2 linked regions of the Oryzias latipes genome follow. The protein of the gene in region 1 interacts with the protein of each later gene in a pairwise test. Links are inferred from orthologs where the notes say so. Each region holds a gene or a part of one and is shown in the gene's direction. Other genes may lie near its edges. The genes, in order: aagab and ap2s1.

Region 1 (10,260 bases):
ACATCAACTCATTGTGTATTTTTTGCAGCATTGTAACTAAACTAATTGTAAAAACTAACCAATTTTATGAACGTGTATGTTTTCTCTTGTGTCAAGAACTGTAGGTTTTTGCTGGACTGACTAACAAGGACATCTTTGTTTCACAACTGTGAACACATAAAACACTTAAAATGACAAAAAGGGCAACACTTTGTACTTTACTTCAAAATAAAGGTTATATATTTCATTAAAACATCTAAGCATTGCTGCTAAGTATAACCTGTTGGTAGTATTTTATCCTGAGAGTGACATAAGTTGTAGAGAGCTGTCAGTTAACCTGGTTTTGATGGGTTGATGGGGTGTGATGTTCCCCTTGGTTACAAAACCTGAAATCTTATTACAGAGTTTTTTTGTTCAAAAGAGAAAAAAATATGATAAATGATAAATAAACGTGTCACATGTCCTGAACAATAACATTATATGTCAGATGACAAGGACATTTCCTTGTCCATTTCCTTTTCCTTTTTTTTTTAATTCAACACTTTTTATCTTGGACTCAAATGTTTTTATAATATTGCAAAATATCACTTTGTAACATGGTTAAAACCTTTTAGCAACCACAAAGCCTAAATATTAATAAGAAATATTTTTAAACCAGGTTTTATCATTGAAAAGTGTTTTAGTTTTAAAGAATACCTAAAATATATTTTAGATATGTCATGATAAAAAAAACATTTTGACTTTTCTGACTATAAACTCTAGTTCTTTACCTTTTATTTACTCATAAAACTCCTTCAGACTACTTTCCTGACATCTCTTATGTCCTCTCCTTTGTTCTCCTCAGACCACTGAGCGTTCTGACAGAATGCAGGTAGTAGCCAGGTGCTGTTAGATTCTCCCCTTAAAGGCACACATCTGTTTCAGATGGTGCTGGGAAAAGGGCAACCTTTTGTAAAATTGCAAAAATGCAAAAGCTCATTTTTTGGCAAAAGCTGGTAGCAGAAAAGAGCTGGAGTGAGTTGCAGAAGGCTGCAGCAGGCAGAGAGCCAGTGGTTAGCAGTTGGGGAAGCTACGGCTGTCTTATTGGCATGCTAGACCAGGTAGTCGATTCTGTCTGGAGACAGCTGTAAACCACTCGCCCATAGCGCAGCAATCAGGCACCTGTTTCCTTAGAAGAATGCTGATGTGCTACAATCTGCTGCTCTCCGCTCTCTGCAGCCAGCACTTCCATCTCTCCTGTAGCAGAGTGGCAGTCTTGGCCCTCATTTCTCAAGTCAGATACAGATTACAAAAAACATATTGGGGGAAAAAAAAAGAGTGTAAAGATAAATCTAAAGCTATTGTCAACTTTGCGATGATTAATTTCCTTCCTGTGACAAGTGCTGGATGTCATCTATGAGTCAAGTGACCTTGAAGTCATTGCGTTTTAGTGCATGGGACTGGAGGTATCTATAAATGTAGACATGTACCATCAGTCTTTACTGTGTCATAATCAGTTTTTTCTGATTAACACAGTAAGATTTAAAAAAAAAATAAAAAAACAACAACATCCCTAAAATATTTTCTCATCCAAAACTCATCATTAGATTTTTTTTATGGAGTAAAGTTGCAGTCAAGGTCAGCAAAAACTTTTAAGCAGATGAATAGAGTTGATCAAATGAGCAAACCCTGTTCTTCGGAGCAAATGGATGTCAAAAGGTTGATCTGGAAAACATTTCCCTGCTCATCTGCGCAGCTTCTTTAGCTGTAACTGCTGATGGGGAATTCAGATTAATTGTGTCCTGATTACTTGAGAGTTCTATTAAAATAAGTAGAGGCCACGTAAGTAGATGCAAATATGAACGCTCCGGAGATCATCAAAATGGATGTCATGTCCTAATATTTGCTGGGGCTCTTGGTGAGGCTCAGAGGTGGTGGCACTCAGTGGTTTATTGTTTTTGTGCGGCAGGTGGGAATGGGACCCTGGTCTTTTGGGAAAAGATGTCAAAACAGTATAGTTCTTGGGGGACAGCTAATGTATCAGACCCCATTTCTCTTGATTTTCCATTCTGACTTTAAGGTGCAGGTGACGTTCTGAGTCCTGGCCTGATATTGGGGCTTCTCTGTGGTGTGCCATCCTTTTGTGGAGGGGTTGTTTTCCCCAATGCACAGATCACAACAAAGATGCCCCATAAAGCTTCTTTCAAAACATTCTTGCATTGTGAAACAAAAGTTATTCACTTAACTAACATCCGAGTAATCAATATTTTGTGTCTGACATTATATGACATGTCCATCACTCAAGTTTTGAAAGGTTAAAGAATATTTATACAATATACTATAAAAAACAAAAAAGTGTTCCCTGAATTAACCCTGGAACATTTCCAAAAAACAGTGTCCGTTAACTACTGTACTCTCTACTGTACACTACTGTACAGCTGCAAAATGTATGAATCAATGTAAAAATATGACTTTTCCATCAATAAAGACTGTTAATCTATCTTTTCTTGCATTATCTCTTAGTTTTCAGTTACATTTATATAAAATAGATCAAAAAAGTCCCTTTTCTTTAGGCGAGATTGCTGGAAGGTCTGTTTGTCTTTCTTTCCTTTTTGAATTGTTCTGAAGTTGCAGGTTGTTTTAACCCAACAGTCATCTTTCTTTTGTTGCACATCTGAAAAACTCTTCACAAGAGACTTCCTGTGGAAGTTTATTTTTCAGCATCCATGATGCCTCAGTAGAACTTTATAATACACAAGAAACCTTACCATGGTATTTGCAAATCTTTAGTGAATGGAAGTACCAGTACCTGCCTTTTAGTTTTTTTTTACTGTTTTCAAATACACCTTAGCTTGTTTATGTTGTCAAATAAAGAAAATATGTATTATCAGCAAGAAACTCCACTGTATCTGTGAACCATAGATTTTGTCATTGCTTTTGTAACTCTAAGCTGCTTCACCCCGAAGTGTCCCTTGGTGAACCCCCATGTCTGGGGCTAGTCCTGTGGTTTTCTCTGAGTCAGGAATTTTCTCTAGATGAGTTCTGGATTGCTTCAAATCCTCTTGTACCTGAAAAAACATACATAAAATGTGTACTGCAAGTGCAACACAAATTGATCTCCGAAAAGAATTCAATGAAACAAGGTTTTCGACCATAGAATTTATATTTGTGGATATGAAATTTGACCATAATGAGCAAGAGATTTAAAAGCAAACCAGTCTTTTTTTATATTCTTTGATATAAGACCCAACAAAACATCTTTCCAGAATAAAACGGCAATACCAGAAAAGATGGATTACTATTATTTACATTATTTTTTCCCTTTCTCCTTTCCGTTTTTCCTGTTTTTTATCGAACCTTTACAGAATACATTTAAAAAATATAATATAATATATCATTTATATACATTTTTTAAACAAACTGGCAATACTAATGACTTTTTTTAATGGAACATTTGTAGAATACAGGTTTGTCGTGACGTTGTTCCGGAAGTGACGCAGCTTGACAATCAGAGTTGAAAGGTTATCAAAATTTGTTAGCGTTAGCAGGAAGCTAGACGAGCTTTTTCTATTTACATTTGTTTTTGCAAAATGTCAGCGGCAGAAGACAATACTGATGTGACTCTTCCGTGTGTCCTAATCACTAGCTCTGATAGTGACTTTAAGGAAGAAGAGCTGGTAAAACGTGAGTACTCTTAGGATTGGAAGGAAGCCCAAAATTAAAGGAAGCTAGCTTACCTTAGCACAGTAGATGACAGATATAAATGCCTTCGCTTGAATATTACGCTTTTAGAGCTATTGTTTATTTTTAGAGTAGGCAGTCGAGTCAAACGCTTTTGCATGTTTGTGTTGGCATAGCCAATATTGCAAAAATGTTGAAGAAGCTAGCTGTCATCATTTACTTTGTTGCTAACTCTGCGTTTTGTTTTAGAAATCCTTAATTCGAGGACTTTACCTGAGCCGACAAAGCGAAGGGAAGCAGTCGCCTGGTATCCTTGGATCATCAACAACAAATATTATACGGCAGATGTCAGACTGTGTACTGTACCAAGAATCACTCAAATGTCCTCAGAAATTGCCCAGTCTATGCAGGCTTTTATTGCTTACTTCGATAGTAAAACGGTATGTATCTCAAAATCTAAACATTTAAGTTGCACGTGCTAATCATCACATCATCATGAAATTAAAGACATTTGTGTTTGTCATTTACAGAAGGGTGGCTTAGAAAAGCTCAACCCCTGGATATCAGTGGTAGCAGATCTTGCTCCTGAAGTCCTCATTCTAGTGTGTGACAGAGTCAGTGAAGATGGTTAGTCAATTCTGTTTGAATAAAATATTTAACATTTTCTGAGGATGATCAATAAGCACTGTTTTCTGTTTTAAATTCTTTACATCTCAAATGAGTTTGATATATGTGTGATTTTTTTTCTTTTTTTGTTGTCTTACCGTCTAAAATTAATGTTTAAAATAAACCAATAAATCAAATCAATGGTACACAAAAAAATCCTTCGAGTAAATGCTATATCCCATCTCACGGACAAAACGTGTTGTAGGTGTCACCAGGCATGAAGCACAGCAGTGGTGTTTGGCTCACGCGTTTGAACTTGTAGAGCTTAATCCTCAGGAGCTTCCAGATGAAGATGGTAACGTTGACAAACAGCAGAATTACAATTGTTAATGAGTTCCATTTGAGTTTGTTTTATATTGACACACTTGTTTTGTTTTTCTTTTCTTTTCAGATGACTTTCCAGAATCCACGGGAGTTAAAAGAATAGTTCAGGCTCTGAATGCTAATGTGTGGTCAAGTGTGGAGATGAAAGATGGTAATATATTTTTGGATGATGTATTTTTGGATGCCGTTATGGTTTTGTCTGTAGGATGGAGAGAATGTGACAGTTCATACTTTTTCATTCCAGGACACAATCAGGGTTTTAATTTAATGAGCAGTTTGGTGGCATCCAGACACAACGACCCACTTAGCCGCCAGGATCCTTCAGTGAGTGTTAATTCTTTCTCTTTTTTTTATACTAGCTGTTTCAAACTATGTACACATGTATCACTCCTTAATTACTTATATGCATAGATTTGGGGAATTAATGCAATCCTGTAATGTTATTTCTGGGGTAGCCCCCCAGTTTACCAGAAGAGAGTCCTCCTTCTAATGAGGAGACTAACCAGACAGACAGCCGAGTAAACACAGATGGACAGCAGGACACTGTTGTAGGTAAATAACCATGTTTGTTTTTTCAAACTAATTTCCCAGAGCATTATATACATCCAGTCAGGACAACAAGTTACACTTATAATTCCTATTTTGCCAATCCTTACAGATGCAATGACGGATTTAGATATTCAGGAGCTTGCCAATCTCACAGCTGGAGATGCAGATGTGGACAACTTTGAGCGCCTGTTCACTAAACTAAAGGAAATGAAAGGTGATTGGGAAATGAAAAAAACTTCTTTGGCTCTTTTTTTCCATCAATGATTTGAATGTCCAACTTAATTTCAAGATTTCAAGCTTGGTTAATCTGATTTATATTTTTGTTGTGCAGATAAAGCGTCTTCATTACCACATGAACAAAGAAAAGTTCATGCAGAGAAGGTCATCATCTTTCAATTTCTAACAACGTCTAACAGATCAGAGAATTTATCTGGAGGTTTTTTTTTTTTTTTTTTTTTTTTTTTACAATCCTTTTCTCAATTTCAGGTGGCAAAAGCCTTTTGGATGGCCATTGGTGGTGATGAAGATGAAATAGGTGGACTATCATCTGGGGAGGAAAGCTAAGAAAACAAAGGAAAAAAAAGTCTCTCTTGATCTTTCTTGCTGACCTGTAGCTTTCACAAGATTCTGTTCCTATTGATTCCCTATTCCCACGTATAAGATGATGCTTATAGTTGATCCTGTAAGCTTATTAGCATTTAAAAGCATTTGACTCTTCAAAAGTAATTGAGAAGTAACATGTCCTAGTGGGTGGATTCTAAACTTGTCTTCTCAATGTCCCACAAAATGCTTGAGCTCTGTGTGAACCTCAATACATGACAGTAATGCAAGTCATACAAATGTTTGAGCTTCATGCATTAATCTGGATATAGTAGACACAAATTTTTCATATATATTGGCCTTACCTTTTGAATTGTTTAAATCTAAAAGGGAAATCCTGAAAGTTCTTAAAATCATGTAAATCTTTGTAATGGGTGCAGCATAACTAATGTAAACAGTGTCTCACTACATAAGTTATTACTGCAGAAGTAACTAATCAAAAGGTAAACCAATATGCTGTGTTAGAGTGAATCTATAAAACTATACTGCTACATTTAGGTGATTTGTTAACTTCACTGAAAATGTGTCATCTCAAAAAATATCAAACTTATTCCTAAAAGCTTTGCATTTGTCTGCATTTTTTTCTTAATGAATATCACAAAGTCGTCTGCATACATGACAAAGAGTTACTATTGTTTTAGTGATGGTAAACATCTTAACAATGCATTTTATTTAATAAAATTTCACTTTGTAACAGTGGTCACAAAAAAAGTGTCTAGACTTGGAATTGAGAAACCGATTGTGATTAATCAGGAACAGATCTACTAACTACCAAATGCATTGAGTATTTGCAATACATACAATTAGAGATTGCATGACTCGGTACTGAAAGTGCGAGATTAACATGTTTGCATCAGAGCAAGGACAGTGAGCAATGCCTTATGTTATGATAATGCATAAGTAGCACACAGTGTTTATTGCACAAGCAGATCAGAGCAACAGTTAAAGCTTTTCTACACATTTCTGTGGAAGTGCATCATTTACCCACAAGCAGGATTTACTGTTCGGGATAAATAAGGAAAGTTTGTTCTTGATGAAAAAAACTTTCACCTGTCATAGCATACCTCCTTAATAAGAACAAAATGTCAAGATTCAATCCACTGTGTTGGTTCATTAAAGAGGCCCAAATCAGAAAGCTGCGATTAAAAATAAATACTTTTTACATAAACTTTGACTTTCATTACAGAGTATGGACTAAAGATTGTAACTTATAATTGTTACTTATATTTATTTTCACCAGTTTCTTTTTTTTGGTCTTATAAGACATTACAAGTAAAGGACAGGAGTAAAACATCAAATTATTTTATACCTTTATCCCCACAATATTATGTAAAAAAGTTGAAAATTACAAAGAAGTAAAAGCTGAACAGTCTTGCAGTTTCTATAGAACCAATAAATGAGGCAAATTATGTTGGCTTCAGTGTTATTAAAATCAAAATCAAAGAAAGAAAATGAAGACGTCAGCTATTGTCAGTGTTTTTCTGATTTAAGGTTTCCTATGTCTATTTTATTCCTTTTCAAAGCACTCTGTAGATAATAAATACAAATTAAACTTCATTAATCCTGAGGTTCACTCTGAAACTAGCTGAACTGGCTCAAACATGCATACCTAAGAAGGCCAAGTTAAGGAGGGGCCTAAGAGTCAGGACCCTTGTTTTAAGCTGTTCATCAATGTTAAATTACCGACTATAAATAATTGTATATTTAATTTTTTTGAAAACGTCAATAAAAACAGATTTTTTGCAGAATTTGCAAAAAATAAATTATAAAACATTTCACCAAGGAAAATAGTTTTCATACAAATATTCTTTCACAGAAATAATGAGGCTTTCTCTTTCATAGAATATTGACATTGATAAAATACCAATTAAAAAAAAATCAAATGCATCTATGATGCGTTGATTCATTACGTAAATCATCATGGAAGTACTTTGTACTTAGACTATTGGGTAAATTCTAATTGGTGACAAAATCACATGTTTTATGAAATTGTATTTTATGGTTTGACAGATGAGAAACGAATAAAAAATTGAGTAAAACTCAAAAATGACTAGCAAAAAGCAAGGTAATCTACAGAGGTAGACAGATATCTGGGTTTAAGGCATGTCTAATCTCTGAATGTATGATTAAAAACCCATTTAATCCAAAAACTGGAAAACAGAACAAATGTTTGGCAACAAAAGCATATATAAGGCCTAACATAATCGTAAAATTCCATGTCACAGTGTTTCGTAAGTGAATAAAGCTATCAGCACAGGATGGGAGATCGTGGCTTTGATGAATGGAGTTTCTAACCCTACCTCATCTAAAATCTATGCAACCTTTCCATTGTGGATGGGAATAGACCTCTTCCTAAGACACACTGGAGCAGTGGATGCTGGGAGAGCCCATCTGTGTGAGAACCTTGTCCAGCCACTGCAAAGGACCATTAAGATGTAGCTCTATCCAGCAGGGGGTGCTGGTCACTGTTTGACGTCTACAAGATAAAGAAAAAAAACATATTAATGTGACGACCTTTGTGCTAAACAACATTATTGCAAATGTAAATTCCCTACAAGATAATTTGATGAGGTAACTACAGTAAAACAAGGGCTAGTCGTTTTAATTACGGTAGATAAGTACCTTCACCAATGCTACAAACTCAACCAGCTATTTCTGAAGTCATTTAAGTCCAGAGATGTTTTTTCTCTAAGGTGTTTGGTGCCAGAAATACAACACGTATGACTAGATGAGACATTCAGCGGGGAACCCCCTCTAGGAAAGAGAGTCTCAGATATGTTCACCATCCGATGTCAATCTCTTCACAGCACTTTATGTCTCCTGCGTTCTCCTCTGTTACCATCTCAAGCTGAAGAACCATTTTTGTACGATGCAAAATGTAATATATATATCACCACAAGGAATGCAGGAATTGGTGGGACAATAATTATAATATGTTTGCATGCAATCATTGTAAACAGCTAAAACGAGTACCTTGAGCAAACAAACTTTAGTCTTTATTTGGACATTTTCTTTTTGAGAATGTAATGAAGGTCACTAACAGTTAACACCACAGATGTCTGCAACCCAATGTAGAGGGGGAATATGGATTTGTCCTACACTGATATACACAACAATAGAAATTCAGGTTTGATTCTTTTTTTAAAAGCAAAGAACTTAAGCTTGATTTTCTGGTTGGTTCATTCTTTTATCTATTCAACGTTTACAGATTAATCTTAAAGTCAAATGAACATTGTATTGTTGGGGTTCTTAATAAGTTCTTGTGTTTTTAAAAGTTACTTTAAACAGCTTTTTCCGCAGTACTTTTCCATCGGGTCGATGGCAACAAGTTGAAAATATTTACCTGTACTCGGCACCCCAACCTTTAACAAAACTCATTCGAATAGTACACATCCTGGTGAGCTGGTAGACTGCCTCAAAGCCCTGGTTGACCGACTGGGCGAGGAGGGCAGCAAACTCCTGGTTGTTGAAAATCTTAAGGTTACAACCTAAAAAAAAAAAATCAAATTAGACTTTTTGATAGAGAAAAAAATACTGAATCCAGCTTTGCTATTTGTGATTAATGTAAGAGGATTTTGCACTAACCTGGTGGGATTTTGCACACAGTGGCAGGGTGCCAACTGTAGTGCTGGTTGCAGTTTGGACTTTGAACAAAGATGGCACTGTCACTCAGACACTCTGCAAATACCTCCCCCCCAATGTAGTACAGCCTCACACCTCGTCCTGGAAAGCATACAGAAACAAGTGTACCTCATCACACAAGCTGCAGATAATATGAAACCCAAATACAAAAAAAAAAAACACACAAAAAATTCATATGAAGTCAGAGGTTATGTCCTCACAGTATGGGTACCTATGTGTCTGCGTGTGAGCTCTACTGCAGAGTTGCGGTTCACATTGGACAACAAGCCCAGACAGAAGCGTTCAGAGTTGGACGGGTCTGTGAATCCGTCTACTGTGAGGGAAGGCTGAGAAGCGTGGAAGGTCTCTCCAACACGCTGGTTCAGCTCATAGTAGGAGATGGAGCACCAGAAAGCTGATTCACAGTAGGTCACTGGCTGTAAATCTGGATTGGTACAGATAAAAGAGGGATTTTAGGTTTTCTGTCGAGGTAAAATCCTTTCAGGCCAAACTTTTTCAGTGTAAAGTCACAAACTGAAAACATGTCCAAGATTTTGGATTTTTACACATCCAGGTGCTGATGTTGATTGATGACTTAGGAATGTGGGCGGCCATGGTGCAGCGGTAGGGTGGTCGACCCATGTTCGTAAGATTGCAGTTTCGATTCCCTCCTAGCATGCCCATGAGTCGAAGTGTCCTTGGGCAAGACACTGAACCCCACCTTGCTTCTGGTGGTAGGTTGGCGCCAGTGTCCGGCACCGGAGCCGCCACCAGTGTGTGAATGTGTGTTTGAATGTGTGAATGGGTCTGTGACTGTAAAGCGCTTTGGGCTTTGTAGGTAGAAAAGCGCTATATAAGTAT
Region 2 (10,213 bases), on another chromosome or scaffold:
GTAAAGGCTCAACAACTCATACACCATGTTCAACAATAGTATCTGTCCAATGCAAGAGGCTCCCTGCTTGTGTTTAGACAGGAGGGAAAAAAACAATGCACATTTCAGGAGCCAACCTAGACAGTTTTAAAGCAAAATGTCAAATGAAATACTAGTAAAGATAAAGTCACAGTATGCTGCTTAACTGGAATAACCTCTAAAAGAGTAGGTTTTAACTTTGAACTCCTCACGTGGCTCTCATCTGAACTCTGAGGCTGTTGGAGGGTCGAGGGAGAGTTAAAAAAAACTTTTATTCACTTAAGTTTGGTGTCTACCTCTGAGGAGGTGTAAATGACCTTCTGGGTCTACAAAAGTCTGAAAAGTCCTTTGTTTCATCGTAAGGAAACAGAGAGGAAAACGAAAGCAGTCATAAATAAACGTAAATTATCTTCCAAGACACAAAGTGACCACACCAAGAAGCAAAGTGATAGCAATTGGAAACAGCGCGGCCACAAGAGAATGAAACACAAGCAGGGTTTGTAGCAGGAACAAAAACTCTGAGTACTAAACAGGGCCACAAATGTTAAAAAATAAACACAACCACGTTGGACATTGATTTGTCCAATCAGTCTAATCAAGAAGTAAAAAAACAGTCCCGTCAAAGGTAAAATCGCCCTTTTTGTACTACATTTGAACCGTACCGTAACGATAAACAACCAGTAAACCTGTCTGCTCTATGCTGCTTCATGGTCTTACCCCCCTTCCCCTCCTATTATCACCCTCCTACCCCCCTCTCTCTCTAACGTCCCTCTCTCTTCTTCCCCTCTTTCCTTTTCCGTCCGGTCCAACACCAAAGATTTTCAAACATGATTGAAATTAATAAAGTTTGGCCTCAATTACAAAAGGGGTTTATTCAGACATACCTTTGGTTTGTCTGAAGATGAATAACCCCTCTTGTTAAAATAAAATATGTCCAACACAAGAGGCCCTCAGCTCTCATCTGTTTGCCTAGCTGTTGGACAGGACAAGTTAAAAAAAAAAAAAAAAAAAGGTAAAATCGAATCATTTCAATTGGATTTGAAAAGTCATCTATTAGGAGAATCATTTGATGATGTTTGCATTGTGATTAGTTCAGCCACTGAATGATAATTAAGTTGTGTCTCTAAGGAGGACAGTATAACAACTAAGAATTGTCTGATTTGTTGTAAAGACAACAAGCTAAGAGCTCAAACAGATGTTTAATGTTTTGCAGCGGGACCTTGTTCGGAATGAATTCCCTGTGACTCTGCCCCTCCCTCAACGTCTTCCAACAGCCCAATCCAGACTTAAACATGTACGATGAGCACAAATGTTTCATTTGATGCAAAAATGCAGGCTGTTATTTGAAAGCGGAATGAAGTGGGCCTACTTTAAAAGCCAACTAAAATTTTCAATCCAAAAGGATTAATTAAAAATATTTTGGTTACTTTTTCAAATTGGTCATGTTGTGCAAAAACAAGGTCAGTGAATTTACCTCTCACCATTCTTTACATGACTGAGTTTGAAGAGAAACTATTCAACTTGTGACAACAAGAACATTAAAGCTGAAGTTTGCTTTTTAAATAACAGTAAAAGCTTAAACTTTATTTTAATTTTAACCACCCTGCAATGGAAAAAACAAGACAAATGTAAAATTTAATGACTGTTATCAGGGGGTGAGTTGCCTTGTTTTTTCATGGGATGGGAATTTGTAATAAAGTGAGTGTTTATACATATTTTGAGAGAGTTATGCCACCAAAAAAATACATGTTCAAGCTGGGTTAAAAGCTCACATTTGGTTTTCTGTCCAATCGTATCACTTAATGTTTTTAGCAATATTTGCATGACCCCACTGCAAAGAAAGATTAACATGGGTCAAAGTTTCTGTTGAACGATCTGCTTCTGTTTTCAAATCCATTTTCGGTTATTTCAACACAGACAAGGCACAGTATAAGCAATCTACTTGAACTAATAAATTACAATGCTATTTAAGATATTTTATTTTTTACAAAACATTAACAGAGTTCCGCTGTTTTTTTTACACATATACCAAAACATTGCTGAAAGAAATAACTAGAAGAAAAAGTTTTTACAAAGGATTTTTGGCTTTTTTCTTCTCTTTATTGTAGTTTATTTATAATAAACATGTTTTTTTTCCTATCTGACCTCAACCTCTTCAACATTTGCAGCTGAATTTTTGCTGGGTCCTTGGGGAAACACATTCCTTCTGCTGCAGTTGTGCAATATCTGATAATCCCAGTCTCCCCAAGCATTTAAATTAAATCAGGAAGTCCACATTTCTCCTTTGCAGTTATAAAAGAGGAAAATATGTTAAATTGCAAATACATAAAAAAGACCAGGGTTTTATTCCAAAGTTAACTCGTTATGAAACAATATTGAATACTATACAAATTAGACTTTTGTTATTTTCGTCTGTAGCCATGGCTGCTGTAGTGTCTGTGGCAGTTCTACCTTGACTTTCGCCCCCCTCTGCCTCCGCAAAAAAAAGGAAAAAGAAAATGTTTCCTTCCTTTCACCACACTTGTGTTCAGGAGAAATGAAATTGGAAGTGAAATTGGAAGAGTCTGGATTCACACCCTTTGGCATTTGGGATTTTGAAGACACCTGCTGTATGAAAGAGGAACTGTCTGGCTCATCCTTTTGACTACTAACAGGTATGGAGAGAGCTCCAAATATTTTAGAAGTCCCCATGATTTGCACCTAACATTGTATCATTCTATCCTACTTCTTCACCAGTTGTATCGCTTTCAGGGTCACAGGGCTGCTGGAGCCTATCCCAGCTACTGTTGGGTGAAGGCAAAGTACATCCTGGACAGGTTGTTAAAAAGGCCATAACAGAGATTGACATGTATAAAAAAAATGCTTTGCCCTTTTAATAAATATACACGGTTTTAAAACCTGGTTTTTTGTTTCTTTATTTTATTTTATTTATTTATTTGCAGCAAGAGCTCTTGGTCGATTGACCGCTATGTCCATGTCTAAAACCCGCCAATGTGTAAATATTTAACACAAAAAAGTGTGCATTGCTAAAGAAAGAAGGTGTTAAAAAAAACTGAAAAACTGATACATAAAAAAACCATTGCAAATCATGTGACTTGTTGAGAACTGGACAAGTTCTTAAAAAATGAACACTGGTGTTTGTAGTTTCCTGGTACATTCCAGGAGTTCTTATCCAACCGTTAAAAACACATTTCCCATGGTGCACCACAAATCAACGAAGCTTTCCTTTTTCCTGTTAGCTAGTGCAGATAACCGACGAGCTCTCGCCCGAATAACTGCTTTTTAATGTAAAACCACTAAATTGTTACTCAGGAACTCGATATTGTTGTCACCAAAGGTTCTGCTAAGGAGACGAATATGGTAACGTCGCCTTTTTTCCTCCATGTTTTGTTTTTTCCACCCATAGTCTTTCAACATTGAATTGCTAGCATTGGTGGGATTCGTACCGATATGCCGTTCAATGAGTCACTTGACAGCCTTTGCTAGACTTCAGAAAACAAAAAAACAAAACAAGGAATACAACCTATTTAGAAATTATTCATATTTTATGAATTCTATAGCAATTAAATTGTTCGCAGTTTTCTGTCGGGAGGCAAATGCTAATGTAACGCCGCTGTCAGATTAGCCAAGAACGTTAACTAACTAAGTCAGGGAGGGAGCCCTCGAAAATTTGTGGATGTTTTAATCTCTGGAATTGAATTAACTGCTACACTTTATTTGTGGCGTCTGCTACGCATTTCTCTTGATTTCTTGATTTAAAAATAGCTATGCCTTGCTTACTTATTTTCTTTTTAATCCCAAAGATCCGGTTCATTCTCATCCAGAACCGGGCAGGAAAAACCCGGTTGGCCAAATGGTACATGCAGTTTGATGATGATGAAAAGCAAAAGCTGATCGAGGAAGTACATGCTGTGGTTACAGTCAGAGATGCCAAACACACCAACTTCGTGGAGGTAAAGAAGTTTACTATTCATGTTGTCAGGCAGTGGTTCAGTGTTCGTTTAGCTCGATTTCTTTGATAAAACTAGTGTAGATGACTGTTTTTCAAAGAAGAAAATATAGCTTAAATTGTCAGCCTTCACCGATGCTTCAGTAGATTTGGTGCAAACACGTGCAAATTACTTAGAATTATGACTCAAGATGCTTCCATCATCAAGCTCAAAATTATTCAAACGCACAGCAAATACATTTTGTTGAATCAGCAAGTTTTTACCTGATATGAAACTAAAAGTGATTGAAAATACATCTCAAATTCTATTTGAGTTTGTATAATTGTAGTTTTGAGGAGCAGCTAACAGATTTTCTCTAATTATTCAAAAACCCCAGGGGGATTTTTTAACTCATTTTTTATTTTTTTCCCCTGTTTCTGTATAAGCAAATAAAGTTGTTTCTGCTGCTGCAAAAAAACATCCCGCTTCAAATCCTCCCATTTCTTTATTAAATATGGATATAAAGATGAATATATATGTTTGTACCACATTTATTTTTTTTATGATAAACATAAAATTATCATGGTGTGTTTTGCCTCAAAGTCTGGGAGCCTATACCCCAGTAAATCTGCTGTTGTCATAATATGAGAAACTCTATTATTAACAGGCTGATTCCACTTTGTTCCCACAGTTCAGGAACTTTAAGATCATTTACCGGCGTTATGCTGGGCTTTACTTCTGCATTTGTGTGGACGTGACTGATAACAACCTGGCATACCTTGAGGGAATTCACAACTTTGTGGAGGTGAGTACACATAATGTGCTCTGATCATTTTGTTATCCTGGTCAAATGTGTTTCGTGTGTCTGACCTTTTTTTTTCCCTTTTACTTATCATTTTCTAGGACTGGGTTTTGCCTAAAAACTGATGATGTATCATTCCTCCAACCAGTTTTATGTTATATTTCTGCCTAAAAACAATTTTGTAAGATTTTGATTAACACTTTCAGAAGGATAGGTTGTTCTAAAACTTTACAAATAAAAATAGCTGAAAAAATGTTTTGTTTTCCCTTGAAAAAAGTTGCTTCAAAAGAAAATCAGTTTATAGATTTGATGAATCAATATATTGAAAAAATGAAGTTTTGTTTTAACCCGACCATACCCCTTAAAAGTTTATCATGCAACATTTATCTTGAGATCATTTATATTAATTGTAAAATATTCATTAACAGATACCATTTCCATGGGGTAAAGTTATAGTTTACCCAAAGACATCATTTTAGATTTAATAAGACGATATCGTTTGGGATCTCCTTGTGACAACAATGTAATCTGTTTTGAATTTTAAAAACAAAAAGTGAGCAACATGTAGAAAAAAAATGAATTACGTGAATATCAGCAAATGGATAAATTATCCTCAAGTGAACTTCCAAACAAATAGATTTAATGGGCAATGATTTGATGGTAATTTATGTTATTAACAGTGTTGTGCTAATTCAGTTGCTTTGGAAAGCTTGAAGAAGGAGAACGGTCACTTCCATGAGTTTAACAGTCTGTAGTGACACTTCATTAGTCTGTGTGCTGTCCTCTCAACAAGCTGAGACCCAAAATGTTGCTCATGAGTCTTTCCCGATTCCTGAATGAAGCTTAGGATGTTTCCTTTGTGTTCTAAAAGGTCCTGAACGAGTATTTCCACAATGTGTGCGAGCTGGACCTGGTCTTCAACTTCTACAAGGTAAGAGCACTTGAAAATCATCATTTGTCCATTTGCTTTTGACTTATTTTACAAATGCCTCGTACAAGAAAGTATAAACAGAAGGACAAGTCAACAGAATTTCCTTTTTATCTGTTTAAAACTTGGATGAACTCCCCTGGATTGAAAATTCAGTTAAATGAACATTTCCAAACTTCCCTTGTTCCCCTGTTCAGAACATTCTGCTATGGTTAGTTAATTCACTTATTCTTCTGTTTTGTTCTTCCAAATTATTGCCAAGATACTAACAAGCTGTGAAGTGATACATTTATAACATTAAAATGTTCAAAGCATGAATTCTGGTCTGTATTCCTTTAATGGATCAATTATGTTGAACATTTTTTTGAACATTTGAATGTCAAAAATGTTGTTTTTAAGAAGCTGACAGATTGTTTTTCAGTTTGGAATGGAAGCATTTTTTAAGAGAAGCAATTTTGCTCAGTTTGTGACCTAATTTCCCGTGAACTCTTGGTTTTTCCTTTTTTTTTTCTTTCTCATTTCTGACCTTGTCTGTTATGTTTTTTCCCCTCCAAGGTGTACACAGTAGTGGACGAGATGTTCCTGGCAGGAGAGATCAGGGAGACCAGTCAGACCAAGGTCCTTAAGCAGCTTCTCATGCTTCAGTCACTTGAGTAAAAACAAAATCCTCTGTCCTTCTTGCCCACCGGACATCCAAAAAATATATATAAATACAAATACTTTGATGTGTAATGTCACTTCATATACAAATCCTCTAGTTTTTCAACATGCCAAGTGACAACAGGCATGTGGACGAGGACTACACAACATCCACTTTTAGATATCCAATCAGCCGTTTTTTTTTTTTTCCCTGCAGTTTTTTATCTAACCTTCTGAATCGTTTTAAAAGACGTCTTTCACTACATTTCAACGTGTCAGCATTTCAAGTTTCTTTGAGTTTTTTTTTTGCTTTTCTACAGCCAAAGGCTGCAGAAATGAGTTCTTCTCCACAGTTATCTTTTCATTTATGGCATTTGTCAGAAGCAACTGTGACGGCAGTCTTCTCATTCCCACATTAAACAAAGCAATTCTTTAGCGGCACTAGAATTTAGAAGCCCCATAAACTCAGGCCAGGCCCACCTTCCCTTTACCTTATCTCTGATTGAAGTAGCCTGTTTATCCAAAATAATGTCTTTAGGTGGCATTTATAGTTCTCTTGTGTTCATGTGTAATGCTTACATATGCAGATGTGTGTGACTGATGCCAGAGCTTGTAAGAGGGTGGTACAATGCAGGATTGTCAATCAAAACGGTGCTCTTTGGTCACTGTTAACATTTAAAACGATCCGGAACAAACAGGCGGGTTTTATGTGAAGCACTACTTTGGGTTTGCTTTGTGTGATCTGTGTAAACAGTGTTGTCTGTGAGTATTGTGAAATGATTGGTCACGAAGATTAATCTTCAAAAATATAAACTCATTTGAGATTAATACATTCCAACAGTGTCATATGTGCATTTAAAGTACTGTCCCTTTGGACTATCATTTCTGGTGAAATCCCATATTTTTACCTTTAGTTGCTTCACATGTTAGACTTTGGGTTTTTCATGAAGACAATATTGAACTATGTACCCACCTGGCATTTGATAGAGTGCTAATGGAAGATGTTACTGTCTTAAATTCAGCTGCCTACATCAGCAGTCCCATTTTGTGTAAATAAACAGATTTATCGTTCAGCTTTTCTGTTATTTCTTCAAAGAAAATGTGTACAGTGTTATAAAAAATACATTTAAATTCTGGCAGCACCATCTAGTGGCCAAACAGTAACATGAATGTGATGTCATCTCAAGCCAGTCTCGGGTCAATAAACCAGTCAATATATCTATTTCAGCTTCATTAAACCACTTAATCTTTCAACTTAAGAGCATTAAACTAATTAGAAAAACGACCTGTATTTATTTACTCATTACATAAGCCTTCTGATATCCTAACAAAGCTGGAAACCTTTTGAGGCAAGTGGCTCAAAGGAGGAGAAACCCTCTACAATCAAAATCTTTATTACTTAGACTTTTAAAATAAAATGTACAATTCTTTTGATACAGTATATAAACAAAACATACATGACATTTTGAAAATAAAAGTGCACTTTCAGAGGAGGAAAACCCCAAATACCTGCGAATGGACTCTACATACTTTGGACAGTTCTATATTATAGTTACCCTTCAGTGTGCACACACGCACACTTTTTTCTTCTCCCCTTCTCTAAAGGCCTGTTTAGAAAACAAACCTGAAGGGCAACGATGACTTACAAGGATAGAGTCATCACTTCCTGTGCATCCCTTCCAATCGGCAACGTTTGGGGAAAAGCCAACCTTAATAGAGGGGGATCTACAAAAACAAAGCACAACCTGCTGTCGTTTGTAGGATCATCCCTTGTGCTGCATGTGTTTGTAGAAAGTGATTCAAAAGTAGGTTGAGGAAAAAGAAAATCCAGCAGCGGCAGGCCAAAAAAAAAAAGAGATTTTATATATAAATAAGTACGTTTGGGACTTTGGGATTTTAAATGGAATAAAAATATTATTTTCGTGCTTCTTAAGCTACACAGTGAACTGAGTAAACAAAATGTGTTGAAAAGGTGGAATCATTAGGAATTCTAACTATAAATTCACAATTTGTAAAACTCTTTATATATTCACATATACACTTTGAATGCAAACCAAATAAAAATACAGATTCCAGCCTTTAGAGACAACATCCAGCTGAGGCTCACTTTACATTCAATAGTTAGCAGGTTCAATGTTCAAGAAAACTTTAAAAGGATAAAGGATGTGGTAGATTCTATCATTTTCAATTTCTTTAAGTATACATGTTTCGAAATACAAACGTTTCCACAATCACATTTAATTTTGGGCTCATCATCAGTCATGTCAGGAGACGCTAGATAAGAGTGCTTCAAACAGTGACAGTAGGAATTTACAGACAGAAATGTGCAAGTGCAAAAAGCAAAGTTTCTAAAACCTGAATAAAAAAAGAAATAAAAATCAAAAGGTTGACCAACAGCAGCCCATATGGACCACCGTTGACTCGTCCTTGTCTGGTAAGCAACTGATGAGGACATCACGTCCTTATGTCCCCATCACGCTCACACTGAAGGGATGCTTCATCCTAGATGCAGGGGCAAGATGGCCCCCTCAGGTAAGGAGGCTTAGCGAGGGCCAGGGGCTTGTAGGAGTCTTTGTGACCTCACTCATCCAGGTGATGTAAGGTGAGTGAGACTATAGGGTGAATGGTCACACACACCAAAACACCTGGAGCTGAACTGAAGGACTGAGCAAACAAAAACCAAAAGTTGATGCGAGGCCTGTTTTTGTCTAAGTACTTCAGACAAGAACGCTCACTGACCTGTAGGGGGCGTCCTGTCCGCGTGGGGCTGCAGGCTCAGGTTAAGGCGTGGCCTGACCCCTAGCAGTTACACTGCTGCTTGTTCTGTGTTGTTGTGCCTCTCGGCTGTCGCAGCTGCCTTAGAGACGCGTCTCCATACTGAATCCCTGAACCCATCCTCTCTGGGTCCAGCTCTCCTGCAGAGACCATTGCAGAGAATGGGAAAAACTGTTACCAAAATAAAATACAATAAAACAGATTTTAAAAGAGGGGGCGGGGTAACTCAACACCAACCCACAACTCAAAAGGCGAATTTCTAATGAACTACTGCTGATCTGCAGGAAAACAACTCCGGATTTTGATTTTGGTTAAAAATGAGATAATCGTAATAAAAAGATCAGTGGAAAAGAAAGTTAAAATATGTTAAAAGAGGATTGGAGTGGGACTTCAAGGTATTAAATCTTTTGAATGTAGAACATATTTAAAACTACAATATGGTCCCCAAAACAACATAAATTGTGCAAATACACACACAAACAAAGAGACATGCCTGTTTACCAAAGACTAAAATATACCTGAATCTATCTTGTTGAGGATGGTGCGGGCACACTTCAGGAAACCCTCCTCCACATTTTCGCCTGTCAGTGCACTTGTTTCTAGAAACATCAGTTCTGTGTGGACAGAAAACAACCACATGATGGTCAAAGGGGGACACGACGGATCCAGGAAGTGTAAGACATGTTCAGCGAGGACACACACAATGTTTCTAGACAAATCCGTTACCATTTTCCTGAGCGAAGCGTGAAGCTTCCAGGAAGGTCACCTCTCTGTCTGCATCCAAGTCTTTCTTGTTGCCACACAGAATGATGACGATGTTGGGGCTAGCGAGCGTCCGTGCATCAGTCAGCCAGTTGGACAGGGCGTTATACGTCTCTCGGCTGTAAGACACAGAGATGGACATTTTTGTGAAACAGCTCAGTATGAAGACCAAACCTTGATATCCATGGTAACATGAGGCCAAATGTGTGGGACAGAAGGGTGGAGGCCTGGGCTCTTGATGCTTTACAGCTGCTTTCAATAGCAAGAAAATCTGACGCAATTCCTCCTCCGCACACCGATGGCACAACTCCAGCTCAGTGGGATTGTGGTTCTCATGTTCCCCTCGCCCCACTCCATTGT

Evidence for each region.
Region 2: the proteins of aagab (region 1) and ap2s1 interact in binary tests that used the Homo sapiens proteins (3 or more experiments, as listed by UniProt). The link is inferred for Oryzias latipes from reciprocal best matches to the Homo sapiens genes AAGAB and AP2S1.

What each region holds. Positions count from the first base shown.
Region 1 is NC_019864.2:16,362,290-16,372,549, forward strand, and holds aagab (alpha- and gamma-adaptin-binding protein p34), read left to right. Parts: upstream 1-3,457; 5' UTR 3,458-3,548; coding exon 3,549-3,642; intron 3,643-3,888; coding exon 3,889-4,079; intron 4,080-4,169; coding exon 4,170-4,266; intron 4,267-4,510; coding exon 4,511-4,600; intron 4,601-4,696; coding exon 4,697-4,780; intron 4,781-4,873; coding exon 4,874-4,953; intron 4,954-5,084; coding exon 5,085-5,181; intron 5,182-5,287; coding exon 5,288-5,392; intron 5,393-5,509; coding exon 5,510-5,559; intron 5,560-5,664; coding exon 5,665-5,742; 3' UTR 5,743-6,946; downstream 6,947-10,260. Other genes in the region: smad3 (mothers against decapentaplegic homolog 3), read right to left, coding at 8,131-8,254, 9,122-9,266, 9,364-9,501, 9,632-9,844. UniProt on the Homo sapiens protein: May be involved in endocytic recycling of growth factor receptors such as EGFR.
Region 2 is NC_019871.2:14,617,464-14,627,676, reverse strand, and holds ap2s1 (AP-2 complex subunit sigma), read left to right. Parts: upstream 1-3,223; 5' UTR 3,224-3,375; coding exon 3,376-3,378; intron 3,379-3,821; coding exon 3,822-3,971; intron 3,972-4,638; coding exon 4,639-4,752; intron 4,753-5,620; coding exon 5,621-5,680; intron 5,681-6,232; coding exon 6,233-6,334; 3' UTR 6,335-7,391; downstream 7,392-10,213. Other genes in the region: ras-related protein Rab-4B, read right to left, coding at 9,116-9,231, 9,610-9,705, 9,818-9,972. UniProt on the Homo sapiens protein: Component of the adaptor protein complex 2 (AP-2). Adaptor protein complexes function in protein transport via transport vesicles in different membrane traffic pathways.